Linked DNA regions of Anolis sagrei. The protein of the gene in region 2 interacts with the protein of the main gene of each other region in a pairwise test. Links are inferred from orthologs where the notes say so. Each region holds a gene or a part of one and is shown on either strand. Other genes may lie near its edges.

Region 1 (7,859 bases), on a different chromosome or scaffold from region 2:
TTCAAAGCTATTTATTTTCTATCCCGCCATTTAAGGGGAAAGATGTACCTATTGCTGCACCTTCCTGTCTGAAACAGTCAACAAGGTTAGGTTTCGTTGCTCAAATATTCAAACTACTCCTTTGTGAATAAATCAAATTAGTTCCTGTAGTCTTGTAGTAAAACAAACTATGAAAGTTATATAATCTTTTAAATGCCTACCTGCCACAAAAATGGGCAGACTTGTGACTGATTTATGATATTCTGTGCTTTGAGGGAGTGGGATGTCAAGTTTCTCTGCCCTCAGGAAAAGAATTTGTGAAAAGCCTGTGCTCACAACTAGTCCCCATATCCAGTGAGTGAAATGAAGCCAGAAAGCTTTTACTATTATCTTTCTCACACATAAACACACATAAACATACACAAAAAGAACAATGCAGAGGTGCAAGTCCTACTTTCCCACTTCATTAGGAGTGAACTGTCAGCTACTTTTAAAAAAATGCAAAAATAGTATTTTTGGAGGAGTTACATAGTGATCTCAGAATGGATTTTTTTCTTCTTCCAGTGTCAACCAAAGTAGTTTCCAACACTTATATTCCAAAAATATTGCATGTGTTTCTATCATATCCATAACATACAATAACACAATCATCTTGTGTCCTTACACCAGTAGGGATTTTCTTGTTTTTCTTGCTGTGCTTTCAACTCTGAAAGTATAAAACTAAAGACTTAAATGGATCTTGTCTCAGGGTTATGCTAAATTTCCCTGCACATTGAGGATTCCCCTTGTCATCCTTCTTGTACCTTCAAGAAACAAAACACATACTTACAGAATATAAACTCTTAAAGTAAAAGGTAAACAGCTAAGAGTCCTGATGCCATTCATGCCTCCTCACAGCTTTCAACTTGGGCTCCCATCCCACTAAACCAACACATTAAAAAAATGTTATTCAATAGCAAGAATGGGGTAAGAAAACCATGGAAAATGGTATCACTAGAGGGCACGAGTACCATTCTAAGAAAGGAAATTTTTATACGGTACTTACTTGACCTACTTCCATTTACAGCTAAAAAAAGACTCGGAGATGTTTGCAGCGAACAAAGATAAGACATAATGCAAAAGAAAAAAGGATGCAAGGGTTTGAGAGGGATAAAAAGCAAACTAGTTCTTAGCTACCATTTTATTATAATAATTAGCTGTCCCCTGCCACACGTTGCTGTGGCCCAGTCTGGTGATCTGGAAAATAAAGTAATGAGAAAGTGTTGGTTTCTAATATATATAATTTCTTTAGGCTTGTGAGTAAACAGTATTTCTTGTTGTTTCTTTGTCAGTGTTGATGTGGAGAGTGTCTGGTTTGCCTACTCTGTAATATGGAACATATCATAGTCCTTCTTTAAGGGTCTCTTTCAAATCCATGATACTATATCTGTGTGTGTGAGAGAGAATCATATCTATCTATCTATATTTATGACTGGATGGCTCTTTGTCAGGAGGGTTCTGATTACATTTTCTTGCCCTGGTGAAGAGAGTTGGACTGGATGGCCTTAAGTATTTTCCGTTGGCCATGGGGTTCCCGAGTGGGAAGTTTGCCCCATTTCTGTCGTTTGTGGGTTTCAGAATGCTCTTTAATTGTAGTGAACTATAAATCCTAGTAACTACAAACCCCAAATGTCAAGGTCTATTTCCTCCAAACTCCATCTGTGTTCATATTTGGGCATATGGAATTTTTGTGTCAAGTTTGGTCCAGATCCATCATTGTTTGAGTCCACAGTGCTCTCTGGATGTATGTGAACTACAACTCCCAAACTCAAAGTCAATGTCCAGTGTGTTCCATTGGTCATGGAAGTCCTGTATGCCATGTTTGGTTCAATTCCATCATTGGTGGAGTTCAGAATGCTCTTTGATTGTAGGTGAACTATAAATCCCAGCAACTACAACTGCCAAATGTCAAGGTCTATTTCCCTTAAACTCCACCTGTGTTCATATTTGGACATATGGAATATTCGTGCCAAGTTTGGTCCAGATCCATCATTGTTTGAGTCCACAGTGCTCTCTGGATGTGGGTGAACTTCAATTTCCAAACTCAAGGTCAATGTCCACCAAACCCTTCCAGTTTTTTCTGTTGGTCCCTTTGTGCTAAGATTGGCCCAATTCCATCATTGGTGGAGTTCAGAATGCTCTTTGATTGTAGGTAAACTATAAATCCCAGCAACGACAATTCCCAAATGACAAAATCAATTTTTTTGAGTGGAGGACATACATTGGGTTGTTAGGTGTCTTGTGTCCAAATTTGGTGTCAATTCCCCCAGTGGTTTTTGAGTTCTGATGGTACCACAAACGAACATGACATTTTTATTTATATAGATGTTTGTTATATTTGTTATTCTGTATTTTATGATGTGGCATTGAATTATTGCCAATTTTAAACCGCCCTGAGTCCCCCCAGGGGTTGAGAAGGGCGGGGTAAAAATGTTCGACATAAATAAATAAACAAATCCAGTTCAAAGCAGACATTGTGGGTTATCTGCTATAATATATGATATTGGTTGCCTTAGTGGATGATCTGCGCCTGGAGCTCGACAGGGGGAGTGTGTCCCTGTTGGTGCTGCTGGACCTCTCAGCGGCCTTCGATACCGTTGACCACGGTATCCTTCTGGGATGCCTCGCGGGGATGGGTCTTGGAGGTACTGTTTTGCAGTGGCTCCGGTCATTCCTAGAGGGTCGATCTCAGAAGGTGTTGTTGGGGACACCTGTTCAACCCCACAACCATTGTCTTGTGGGGTTCCTCAGGGCTCAATATTGTCTCCCATGTTGTTTAACATCTACATGAAGCCGCTGGGGGAGATCATCCGGAGTTTCGGGGTACGATGTCATCTGTACGCGGATGATGTCCAACTCTGTCACTCCTTTCCACCTGCTACTAAGGAGGCTGTCCAGGTCCTGAACCGGTGCTTGGCCGCTGTGACGGTCTGGATGAGGGCGAACAAATTGAAATTGAATCCAGACAAGACAGAGGTACTCCTGGTCAGTCGCAAGGCCGAACAGGGCATAGGGTTACAGCCTGTGTTGGATGGGGCCGCACTCCCCCTGAAGGCGCAGGTTCTCAGCTTGGGTGTGACCCTGGACTCATCGCTGAGCCTGGAACCCCAGGTTTCGGCGGTGACCAGGGGAGCATTTGCACAGCTAAAGCTTGTGCGCCAGCTGCGCCCGTACCTTGGGAAGTCTGACTTGGCCATGGTAGTCCACGCTCTGGTTACATCCCGTTTAGACTACTGCAACGCTCTCTACGTGGGGTTGCCTTTGAAGACTGCTCGGAAGCTCCAACTAGTCCAACGCTCAGCAGCCATGATTTTAACAGGAGTGGAGCGCAGGGAGCATACAACCCCCCTGTTGCCCCAACTCCACTGGCTACCGATCTGCTACCGGGCTGAATTCAAAGTGCTGGCGTTGGCCTTTAAAGCCCTAAACGGTTCCAGCCCAAGCTACCTATCCGACCGCATCTCTGCCTATGAACCCACCAGGACTTTGAGATCTTCCAGGGAGACCCTGCTCTCGATCCCGCCTGCTTCTCAAGCTCGGCTGGCGGGGACAAGAGATAGGGCCTTCTCGGTGGTGGCTCCTCGGCTGTGGAACGCCCTTCCTACGGACATTAGACTAGCACCATCTCTAATGGTATTCCGCAAAAAAAGTGAAGACCTGGCTGTTTGAGCAGGCGTTCCAATAATTAGTGCAATGATTGGTTAATGAACACTGGAATGGAACAATGGATGACGAATCTGGAACATGTTTTTGATGACGAGACGACAGTGAATGGGTATTGTAGTAACTGTTTATTAATTGTGTAATGTGTTAGGTTGTTAACTGTTTCTATACTATAGCACTGAATTTTTGCTGTTCGTATTTGTTGTGAACCGCTGTGAGTCGCCTTCGGGCTGAGAACAGCGGTATATAAGTAAGGTAAATAAATAAATAAACAATATTCTGGGTTATATGGTTGTGTGGAAGGGCCCTTCACTCCCCTCTGATGATTCCTGAGGCCCACAAGCGTCTCTCTTGTTTTCCTTCATGCAAAAGCGCGTCACCAGCAAAAAAACGTTTTGGAGCGTTCAAAGGGCGCTCACTTCCTGGTGTAAACTGGGGACAGCATTGAAGAGATAAACAGCCCCCCTGCTCCCGCCTTCCTTTGCCCGGCGTTGGCGCGAGGCGGGCGTTGTTCCCACAGCTGGAGCCCTTCCCACGCGGCGTTCTAAGGCCAGCTCCCAGGAAACGCGTGTTGACCGCTGGGGGGCGCCCCGCGAGCGCGTGAGATGGGGCCGAGGTGGGAGGCGCGTGGAAGGAGAGGGCTGGCTTTGCCTCCGCTTCGCCCCGCAGCAGAGCGCTTCCTGGTCTCGTGGTCAGCCGCAGGTGGAAGGCACAGGGTCCCCGAGCCCCCTCCCCACAGCAGGCAGGCAGGTAGGTAGCAAGCAAGCGGGAGGGTTGTGAGCTGGAGCTGGAGCGGCCGGAGGAGGAGGGGAGGGAGCGGAAGGAGGAAAGTTGGCCAAGCCAGAAGCATTTCTTCCTGGGGCCCCGCCCTCAGTTGAGGGAATCGGGTGAGAGGCGGGGGGAGGGGCTTTGGTTTCCTGATCCCATTGGGGACCCCAGCAGGGAACATGGCAAGATGAAAAATAGTCTGATTGGAATTCCCCCCCCCCCCCCCCCCCAGGACCCAAGTGTACAGGGCAAATTGTATGGGAGAAGGCGATCCTGCAGGTCATCTGGATCCAAACCATGTAGACCAGGGGTCCTCAAACACTTCAAACAGATAGGAGCATAGTGTCTAGATCTAAGGAAGTAATGCTACCCCTCTATTCTGCTTTGGTTAGACCACATCTGGAATATTGTGTCCAATTCTGGGCACCACAATTCAAGAGAGATATTGACAAGCTGGAATGTGTCCAGAGGAGGGCGACTAAAATGATCAAGGGTCTGGAGAACAAGCCCTATGAGGAGCGGCTTAGGGAACTGGGCATGTTTAGCCTGAAGAAGAGAAGGCTGAGAGGAGATATGATAGCCATGTATAAATATGTGAGAGGAAGCCACAGGGAGGAGGGAGCAAGCTTGTTTTCTGCTTCCTTGGAGACTAGGACGCAGAACAATGGCTTCAAACTACAAGAGAGGAGATTCCATCTGAACATTAGGAAGAACTTCCTGACTGTGAGAGCCGTTCAGCAGTGGAACTTTCTGCCCCGGAGTGTGGTGGAGGCTCCTTCTTTGGAAGCTTTTAAGCAGAGGCTGGATGGCCATTTGTCAGGGGTGATTTGAATGCAATATTCCTGCTTCTTGGCAGGGGGTTGGACTGGATGGCCCATGAGGTCTCTTCCAACTCTTTGATTCTATGAGTGCCAGGTCACAGTCCCTCAAACTGTTGGAGGGCCGGATTATAATTAGAAAAAAACTTGAATGAATTCCTATGCACACTGCACATATCTTATTTGTAGTGCAAAAAAACACTTTAAAACAATACAATAATTAAAATGAAGAACAATTTTAACAAATATTAGTGGTCCCCTGCCACGCGTTGCTGTGGCCCAGTCTGGTGATCTGGAAAATAAAGTAATGAGAAAGTGTTGGTTTCCAATATATGTAATGTCTTTCTGCTTGTGGGTAAACAGTATTTCTTGCTGTTTCTTTGCCAGTGTTGATGTCTGGTTTGCCTACTCTGGAACATACAACATATCATTGTCCTTCTTTAGGGATCCCTTTCAAATTTTTGATACTGCATCTGTCATATACACATATGTGTGTGTGTGGATGGCCCTTTGTCAGGAGGGCTATGTTTATGTTTTCTTGCCTTGGTGAAGGGAGTTGGATTGGATGGCCTTCAGGCAGCATTTTTCAACCTGGGGTTTGGGACCCTTTGGGGGTTGCGAGGAGGTGTCAGAAGGGTTGCCGAAGACCACCAGAAAACACAGTATTTTCTGTTGGTCATGAGGGTTCTGTGTGGGAAGTTTGCCCCAATTCTGTCATTGGTGGGCTTCAGAATGCTCCTTGATTGTAGGTGAACTATAAATCCCAGTAACTACAACTCCCAAATGTCAAGGTCTGTTTTCCCCAAACTCCATCTGTGTTTATGTTTGGGCATATTGAGTATTCGTGCCAAGTATGGTCCAGATCCATCATTGTTTGAGTCCACAGTGCTCTCTAGATGTTCAATTCCATCGTTGTTTGGTTCAATTTCATCATTGGTGGAGTCCAGAATGCTCTTTGATTATAGGTAAACTATAAATCCCAGCAACTATAACTCCCAAATGACAAAATCATAATTTTTGAGTGATGGTCACTCCTATTGTGAGACGTTTTGTGGCCAAATTTGGTGTGATTTCATTCATTGGTTTTTTTGTTTTTTGTTTTTAGGGTACTGATTATGCACAGAGCATTTATATATATATACTAGCTTGGGGACCCGGCATTGCCCAGGTTATTAGAGAAAGTGGGTAATAGTGGTTCTGTATGCCAAGTTTGGTCTTTATTGGTCTTTGGATAACGGCTGCATTATTTTCAGGAAGTGAGTGAAGGTACTTGAAGTCCCATCATCCATGGCCCATCCTCCTACAAACAGCAGCAGGATATAGAGTGGGTCATGGGGGCTCTGTGTGCCAAGTTTGGTCTTTATCAGTCATTAGATGAGGGTGGCATTGGTGTCATTAAGTGAGTGAAGGTACTTGAAGTCCCATCATCCAAAGTCCATCCTCTTTCAAACTGCAGCAGGATGTAGAGTGGATCATGGGGGCTCTGTGTGCCAAGTTTGGTCTTGATTGGTCATTAGAAGAGTGTTGCAGCAATCTTCGGAAGGGAGTGGAGGTACTTGAAGTCCCATCATCCATGGTCTGTCCTCCTCCAAACTGCACCAGGATGTAGAGTCGGTCATTGGAGTTCCATGTGCCAAGTTTAGTCTTGATTAGTCATTGGCTAGGGTCTCAGTGGTCTCAGGAAGTGAGCAAAGGTACTTCAAGTCCCATCATCCATCTCCAAATTTTTCCAAACAACACCAGGACGTAAAGTGGGTCATGAGAGGTCTATGTGCCAAGTTTGGTCTTGATCTGTCATTGGATGAGGTTTGCAGAGGTCTCAGAATGTGAGTGAAGGTACTGGAAGTTCCATCATCCATGGTCAACCCTCCTCCAAAACTGCAGCAGGATGTAGAGTGGGTCATGGGGGCTCTGTGTGCCAACTTTGGTCTTGATTGGTCATTAGATGAGATTGCAGCAGTCTTGGGGAGTGGAGGTACTTGAAGTCCCATCATCCATGATCTGTCCTCCTCCAAAGTGCACCAGGATGTAGAGTGGGTCACTGGAGCTCCATGTGCCAAGTTTAGTCTTGATTGGTCATTGGCGAGGGTCTCAGTGGTCTCAGGAAGTGAGTGAAGTGACTGCAAGTCCCATCATCCATTGTCAAATTCTTCCAAACCGCACCAGGATGTAGAGTGGGTCATGCTGGGTCTCTGTGTAAATTGTGGTCCTGATCCATCATTGTTGGCAGTCGTAATGGTCTTAGGAAGGGAGTGCAGGTATTGCAAGTCCCATTGTCCATGGTGCATCCTCCTTCAAACTGCACCTGGATGTAGAGTGTGTCATGGTGTCTCAGTGTGCCAAGTTTGGTATTTATTGATAATTGGATGAGGGTTGCAGTGGTCTGAAGAATTGAACAATGGCACTGCAAGTCCCATAATCCACGGTCCATCCCCGGCCAAACCACACCAGGACATAACGTGGGTCATGAGAGTTCTATGTGCGAAGTTTGGTCCTGATCAATCATTAGATGAGGTTAACAGTGGTCTCAGAATGTGAGTGATGGTACTGCAAGTCCCAACATCCATGGTTCATCCTCCAAACTGCAATAGG
Region 2 (8,348 bases):
TTCAGAGGATACCTACCTGCCACAAGGTGATCTCCCACAATCTCCAAAGCAGTGATAGGGGCCAGGAGCAGTTCTGTTTCCATTGCGCCCGAAGGAGGGAAAGAGAGGACCTTGGATAGTTGTCTTTCTCAGGACATGCAGACGTCTGAGGAGAGAGAGGTGGCAATGTTGTAGATATGCATTGATTCAGATTTGTTGAAAATAGCAACCTTCTTCAATATCACACTAGTAATTTGTTTGTATAGGATTTGGTTTGTTTACTGTATTATATTTGTATGTTTTGATATGCAGCTTTCCCTTTACTCTATGTTTCTTGAGGTTGTGGGAGGGGCTCCAGATCTGGGACTGCTCAGAGCTCAGTCTCCATTTTAGAGCAGAAACACCATTAGACTATGGACTGTTACGAGCAAACTCATGATGCTGTTGATTGTAAGAAAGATGCCCTGTGTTATATGCACAGAGAAACTACTTTTAGACCTATCTGTAACTGGATTAACAAGCTATGTACCTGTATGCTGAATACATGAAGGATATGAGTAAACCAAATATATCACTTTTAACAAAATCTTGAGAGCATGATATAGAAACAAGATATTTTATGGGAGAGTAGAGGTATTTTTGTGCACCCAAGAACTGCTATATTTTGTGTATTGGCATAACCTCTGTTCCTAACAGATGAGAGACAACCGGGTTATCAGTCTAAAAACTGGAAACCAAATTGCCTTGCATAAGTACATGTGATTATATACCACTGAAGAGAAGATTTTACTCAAATGAGGTTTTTGGCTTCTCTTTGGAAGATCATACTTTTGCAAAAAGGTTATTATTTTCAAATGGTTGGGAATGACATTTTTCTCCAAAAGGTTATGGAGATTCTGGATTTCAAAAAAGATTGGATTAAGGAATATGCTGTTTATCGCCTTAGAAAATAAGAACAATTTAGAGGAGAGGAAGCTCGGGCCCTCTTCATATCAGTCCCAACCTGCAGAGCTTATGGTCAGTGATAATGGAAATTGTAGTTCAACATTAGCTAGAGTACTCACATCCCCCTTTATGATCTAGAGCAGGATCAGGCCCTCCATCTCCTTTTTCAGAGTTCAATTTGGGGGCCACAGCCATGTTTTTTCTTTGTCAATTTGGCTCTCAATTTTTCCCAGGAACTCCCCTCCTCATCCTATTATTATTATTATTATTATTATTATTATATACACAAGATGAGTACACAGCAAACAACTATTCTTAAACTATTTATTTATCAGTATTTACTATATTTTTTCATTCATTTATCATGTCAGGGGCAACCAGACCATTTACTATATTTGCTATATTTACTATATTTATACCCCGCCTTCTCTCACCTTGAAGGGAACTCACAGCACCTTACAAGTATTTATTTATTTATTTCAGACACTTCTACCCTGCAACAATTCAATGCCACATAAGCAGATATACAAATAAAATAAATATCTACCATAAGGGTAAAAAACATCTGCCTGAGAAGTTTTTACTAGATCTTTTCTAAGATCTACAGAGATACTCGCTGGAACACCTCAGCAAGCGAGAGTCCAAAAATGGCAGGCTCAAACCCAGAACCTCAACCAATGGCTGATACCAAATGAGAGACTCCCCCCTGGGCACTCAGAAGACTGGGCGACTTGGAAGGCGCTGAACTGACTGTTCTCTGGCACCACGAGATGCAGAGCCAACCTTCAGAAATGGGGCTACAAAGTGGAATCCTCGACATGCGAGTGTGGAGAAGAGCAAACCACAGACCACCTGCTGCAATGCAACCTGAGCCCTGCCACATGCACAATGGAGGACCTTCTTGCAGAAACACCAGAAGGACTCCAAGTGGCCAGATACTGGTCAAAGGACATTTAATCAACTACCAAACTCACAATTCTGTACTTTGTCTGTTTTGTTTGCTTTGTTCTGTTAGAAATGTAATACAATTGACTGGTTGCCCTGACACGACAAATAAATACTTGAGCCCAGGTATATGGTTATGTAAATTAGGTAAAAAAATCAAATATTTCCTGATACTAAACCAGCATTTGCAAGACTAGCTAAACAGGTTGATTATCTTTTTGGTGGAGCCCCTGGTGGCGCAGTGGGTTAAACCCCTGTGCCGGCAGGACTGAAGACTGACAGGTTGCAGGTTCAAATCTGGGGAGAGGCAGATGAGCTCCTTCTATCAGCTCCAGCTCCTCATGCGGGGACATGAGAGAAGCCTCCAACAAGGATGATAAAAACATCAAATCATCTGGGCGTCCCCTGGGCAATGTCCTTGCAGACGGCCCATTCTCTCACACCAGAAGTGACTTGCAGATTCTCAAGTCTCTCCTGACACGACAAAAAAAACAAACCCCTATATTTATACCCCGCCTTCTTGCACCTTGAAGGGGACTCACTGCGCCTTACAAGTAGGCAACAATTCAATGCCACATAAGCAGACATACAAATAAAATAAACATCTACATTAAAAACCATAAAGAAGTTTTCACATGAGCCCAGGTATATAGTTATGTAAATTAGGTACAGAAATCAAATATTTCCTGATACTAAACCAGCATTTGCAAGACTAGCTAAACAGGCTGATTATCTTTTTGGTGGAGTACAGCTGAAGCATTTTCTGCAGAGTCCACTATAAACACTGCCCCTTGTTGCTAACAGATTTGTGCAAATGGGTGATGATCAGAAACCTTTTACCTTTGCCAAGTTTTTCAGCATTGAGCTAAGAGGACTCCACTTGGGGATGGATCCCAGTTTAAGAAGCAGTGATCTAGAGTTAAAGAAGTAGTCAGCAGTTGCTTCTGGACTATTATCCTGGACTGTGCTGTAACCTACAAGAAGCACAGCTGTTGGGAATTGTGGGAGTTGAAGTCCAAAACACCTGGAGGGCCCAAGTCTGCCCATGCTTGATAGATTCCCAAAATGTGGTCCTTCTGCTCCAAAACAAAACACAACCAAGACCCTGCCAGATTGGCTCACAGTCAGAGGAGTTCTGGGATTTGTACTTTGGGTACAGAGAAGCCTAAAGGCCTTGCAAAACTACAACTCCCAGAATACCATAGCATTCAGTCATTGGTGGTGCCAAACTGTATTAATTCTGCACCCTTGCAACCCAGAGTCCCTTTACATTTACAGGAAACGAAACAGGGGCTCAAGTATAGTCTGGAAACAAGCCCAGAGCCAAAGGGCAATTTAAGACCCTGAAGGGGGGGGGGTCCTCCTCGCAGCGCCCCTTCCCCTTTAAAAGGCCCCACGCGCTTGTTACCTGGCCCGGCGCGCGCTCCTCTGGCGAAAGCAGCTCACGAGCCAATCGCGAGTCTTCTTTTCCAGTTCTCATCCCAACGCGGAATGTGATTGGACGCTGGGTCTCCCAAGGTCGTTCATCCTTGCGCTGTGATTCGACGGGCGTTCAGACCCGGAGAGGCGGGACGAGGAGCTTTTAAAGGTGCAGCAGAAGCATTGTTGCAAAGAGGGAATGCAGTTGGATATCACTTTAACTACATTTATTTTATTTATTTCCTATATTTATACCCCGCCCTTCTCACTCCCGAGGGGGGGGGGGAGTGTCATCATAATAAAACAATCAACAATACATTAAAATATTAAAATATTAATAATTAAAACAATTAACACACACCTGTTAAAATCAGTGGGTGTCAAGCTGCATTCATTCTATAGTGTAAAGACACCTAAATAAAACATTATTATTGTTATTAGATACACAAGCAGATTATTAGGATGAGAGACACCTACATAAAACATTACTATTGTGATTAGATACACAACAAGATTATTATTAGATACATAACAGATACACAACAAGATTAGTACACAGCAAACAAGATCACTATACTGGCCTTTTTATTGCATCACACATCAGTCACTTCCCAAGTGTCTAGGACTGTGTGATGTATCAGCGAATAATGCGTGCAGATCCAAGTTGGGTGGCCCTTTGCAGCTGGCAGATGGTAATTTTGTCAGCGCTGGTTGTTTTTAAGTGCAGGCCAAGGTCTTTAGGCACTGCACCCAGTGTGCCAATCACCACTGAGACCACCTTTACTGACCTGTGACAGTTTTTGCAGTTCTATCTTTAAATCTTCGTACTGTGTCAACTTTTCCAGTTGTTTGTCTATTATTATTATTATTATTATTATTATTATTATCATTATTAGAAACATAACAAGATGAGTCCACAGCAAACAAGATCTCTGTTGGTTGTTGTATTGGATCACACTTCGGACACTTCCCAAGTGTCTAGGACTGTGTGATGTATCGGCAAATGATGCGTGCAGATCCCAGTAAGGTGGCCTTCTGCAGCTGGCAGATGGTAATCTTGTCAGTGCTGATTGTGTTTAAGTGCAGGCCAAGGTCTTTAGGCACTGCACCCAGTGTTCCCATCACCACTGGGACTACCTTTACTGGCTTGTGCCAGAGTCTTTGCAATTTGATCTTTAAATCTTCATATTGTCTTAGCTTTTCCAGTTGTTTCTCTTCAACTCTGCTGTCACCTGGGATTCCAACATCGGAGATCCACACTGTTTTTTAACATGATCGTGAGATCAGGAGTATTATGCTCCAAAACTCTGTCAGTCTGAACTCAGAAGTCCCAGAGTACTTTGACGTGTTCATTCTCTATAACTTTTTCCAGCTTGTGATCCCACCAGTTCTTTGTCGCAGGCAGATGGTATTTGTGGCACAGGTTCCAATGAATCATCTGAGCAACAGTGTTACGTCTCTGCTTGTAGTCCGTCTGTGCGATCTTCTTGCAGCAGCTGAGGATGTGATGTATTGTTTCATCTGCTTCCTTGCAGAGTCTATACTTGGGATCTGTCATCGACTTTTCCAATTCTGGCTTTGATGGCATTGGTTCTAATGGTTTGTTCTTGGGCTGCCAGAATCAGGTCCTCCTTTATCTCCTTTTTTAAAGTTCCATTTGGGAGCCACAGCCATGTTTTTTCTTTTGTCAATTTGGCTCTCAATTTCTCCCAGGAACTCTCCTCCTCCTCCTCCTCCTCCTATTATTATTATTATTATTATTATTATTATTATTATTATTATTATTTACACAAGATGAGTACACAGCAAACAAGATCATTATACTATCCTTTCTATTGGATCACACATGGGACACTTCCCAAGTGTCTAGGACTGTGTGATGTATCAGCGAACAATGCGTGCAGATCCGAGTAGGGTGGCCTTTTGCAGCTGACAGATGGTAATTTTGCCAGCATCGATTGTTTATAAGTGCAGGCCAAGGTGTTCAAGAGCTTCACCCAGTGTGCCAGTCACCACTGGAACAACCTTTACTGGCTTGTGCCAATTTGATCTTTAAATCCTATTATTATTATTATTATTATTATTATTATTATTATTATTATTATTATTAAAGAGTATGATGGCTTGCCTGTTGTTTTTAATAGTGGACATCACATCACTAACACTATGTAAGAAAATTTGAAAAAAAAAATCTGTTCCGGGTTTGCAAGTGTAATTTCCTATTTCATTCTGCAGTACTAACTTTGAAAATAGTTCTACTCCATGAATTTCATTTTTGTGGCTGCCACAAACTACGTTGAATTGGTTGAGAGTCTGTGAAATAATCATTGAAAACTATAGCAAAATGTGCTGCAGGATTTCCCACAAAAACCATGTTTTTGCAGTGTAATAAACGTTTTCCATATTTTAAATGATAGAACCAATTAGGAAAATGACATTTATAACCCAAGAACAAAAATTATGTTACATAGTGTAATCATATTCTTTAAAAAGCACATACAAATCATGTCATGGGGCAGCAGAGGTTGTTGCTTGTATTTTGACATTTAAGACTGGCAACATTACACACTGAACGTCTAATAAAGCAAGTCTTTGAGGAACAGTCATGGTGTCCTTTGAGCTCAAAACAACAGAACAGACAACACTGGGTTTCCAATTTTTTATTGGCAGGATAGACAGCCTGACGTCTGTGCATGGGATAATAAATAAATAAAATAAATATTAAATAAGGAAGCAAAATAACTTAGGAATACAAAGGTGTCAAGAACACACACGGTAACAACCAAAATAAATGCTGATCACTTAATTAATAAATGCAACCAGCAACGTGAGGGCACTCGGACTAGCGACGGTCAGCAAGAGGTTTCGGTTGTGGGTTTGGGTCCGTATCTCATGCCTTTGGGCAAAGCAAGCCATTGTATCGATGCTACTTTCTGGCCTCAGGAGAACTTCTGTATTTTTGGATTACAATCATAAAGTGCCAACACACTTCTACCCAATTATTGGCTTCTTCAAACAATAGAAAACCCTTACATGTTTACATATCACTAGCTAGTAATGTGGAAATATCATAATTGAGAAGTGAATGCCTGCTCTAGGGCAAACACATACACACAAAAGAAATACAAGGCCCTAGTTCAGAAAGAACGGCAACGAAGAGAAATCTCTTTTGCATTCAACTTGCTTGCACTTCAGTAGTACTAAGTGAGGCAGGGCCTTTCAGCCAAGTCTAGAATCAGAGAGTTGGAAGAGACCCCAAGGGCCATCCAGTCCCACCCCATTCAGCCATGCAGGAACACACAATCCAAGCACTCCCAACAGATGGCCATCTAACTTTTTAAAAAACTTCCAGAGAAGAAAATTCCTCCATAGTCTGAGACAGCATACAGTTTCCTGCTATTAGACAGTACTTCAACGGGCTAACAGATTTATTAGACCAGTGGTTCTCAACCTGTGGATCCCCAGGTGTTTTGGCCTCCAACTCCCAGAAATCCCAGTCAGTTTACCAGCTGTTAGGATTCTGGGAGTTGAAGGCCAAAACATCTGGAGACCCACAGGTTGAGAACCACTTTATTAGACAGACTTCAATAGGCTATGGAGTCCCCAGAGGTGCAATGGGTTAAACCCTTGTCGGCAGGATTGCTGACTGAAAGGTCAGTGGTTCAGATCCGGGGAGCGGGGTGAGCTCCCCTCTGTCAGCTCCACCTTCCCATGCGGGGACATGAAAGAAGCCTCCCACAGGATGGCAAAACATCCAGATGTCCCTGGGCAATGACTCTGCAGATGGCCAAATCTCTCACACTGGAAGCAACTTGCAGTTTCTCAAGTTGGTCCTGACACGAAAAAAAGGGTTTGCAGACTTATCTGCTTAGACTTACTAAACTGCTAAAATGATTATGTGATGACATTTGAGGAACCTTGGAATTACTTGGAAAAACAAGAACCTTCAAGATTACTCATCCTCACAATAACCTATCAAAATAGTAGTGACTTCATCCCTGTCCCAGGCAGCAAGGATGGGAATTATGCACCCCCTGCATTGGATTGCAACTCTCAGCAGCTCAGACCAGAGATAACAAATTCGAGGAGTTGCAGTCCAACAACATCTGGAGGATCTCAAGATTCCCACCCCACCTTGCAAACTAAGTGTATTAAAGTGTATGATCATAAATTCATGAACATAAATTGCATTCAGTCGGTGATGTCTACAGGCACATGTTTGGGGACTGGGAGGGCTGCTTCTTTCACTTAAAGAAGGCTGACAGGCATCTCTTCCTCTAGTTCAGTGGTTGCCAGCCTTTGATCCTCCGGTTCTTTTGGACTTCAACTCCCAGAAATCCCAGCCAGCTTACCAGTTGTTAGGAATTGTGGAAGCTGAACTACAAAATACTTAGACCAAAGGATGGGAACTACAATTTGACTGTGGAGTGGTAACATGCCCCATTAACTTCACCCAGTTATAAAGCGCAATAATTTTGCCACAGACCTATACAGCTTGTGACTCACTAAGTTAAACATAGGTTTCCCGGATTTTGATCAACCTCTAACTTTTGTATCGTCGAAGGCTTTGATAGCCGGAATCACTGGGTTGCTGTAAGTTTTTCGAGCTGTATGGTCATATTCCAGAAGCATTCTCTCCTAACATTTTGCCTGCATCTATGAATAGATGCAGGCGAAACATCAGGAAAGAATGCTTCTGGAACATGGCCATACAGCCCAAAAACTTACAGCAACCCAACCTCTAACTTTTGTCTACTGTCTGGGATGACAGAGGACAGAAAGAAATGTTAAGCTTCTGCCAGATCACAATATACTCAGCTGGTGGGCTATGTTTGACTTGGCCAGTCACAGACTGCACAGGCCTCTAACCAAGGCACACAACAATAAGGACAGCGACAAAAAAGACACACATTACCACTCATTCTATGAAACTGAGGGCACATCTACACGGACCACTTAAGTCAGCTACAAACTGATATTGAAGAAAACAGGTTCTCCACACAGATTACAAAGGAAGTCCTGGAACCAGTCTGAGGACTGGAAGGTGATTCCATAAACCA

Evidence for each region. The genes of interacting proteins can lie anywhere in the genome.
Region 1: the proteins of WDR6 (region 2) and PTPN3 interact in binary tests that used the Homo sapiens proteins (3 or more experiments, as listed by UniProt). The two-hybrid records come from large-scale screens. The link is inferred for Anolis sagrei from reciprocal best matches to the Homo sapiens genes WDR6 and PTPN3.

The regions. Positions count from the first base shown.
Region 1 is NC_090026.1:59,187,123-59,194,981, reverse strand, and holds the start of PTPN3 (tyrosine-protein phosphatase non-receptor type 3), read left to right. Parts: upstream 1-4,281; 5' UTR 4,282-4,286; coding exon 4,287-4,431; intron 4,432-7,859.
Region 2 is NC_090022.1:28,501,706-28,510,053, forward strand, and holds the start of WDR6 (tRNA (34-2'-O)-methyltransferase regulator WDR6), read right to left. Parts: upstream 3,335-8,348; 5' UTR 3,278-3,334; intron 146-3,277; 5' UTR 84-145; coding exon 17-83; intron 1-16. UniProt on the Homo sapiens protein: Together with methyltransferase FTSJ1, methylates the 2'-O-ribose of nucleotides at position 34 of the tRNA anticodon loop of substrate tRNAs. Required for the correct positioning of the substrate tRNA for methylation.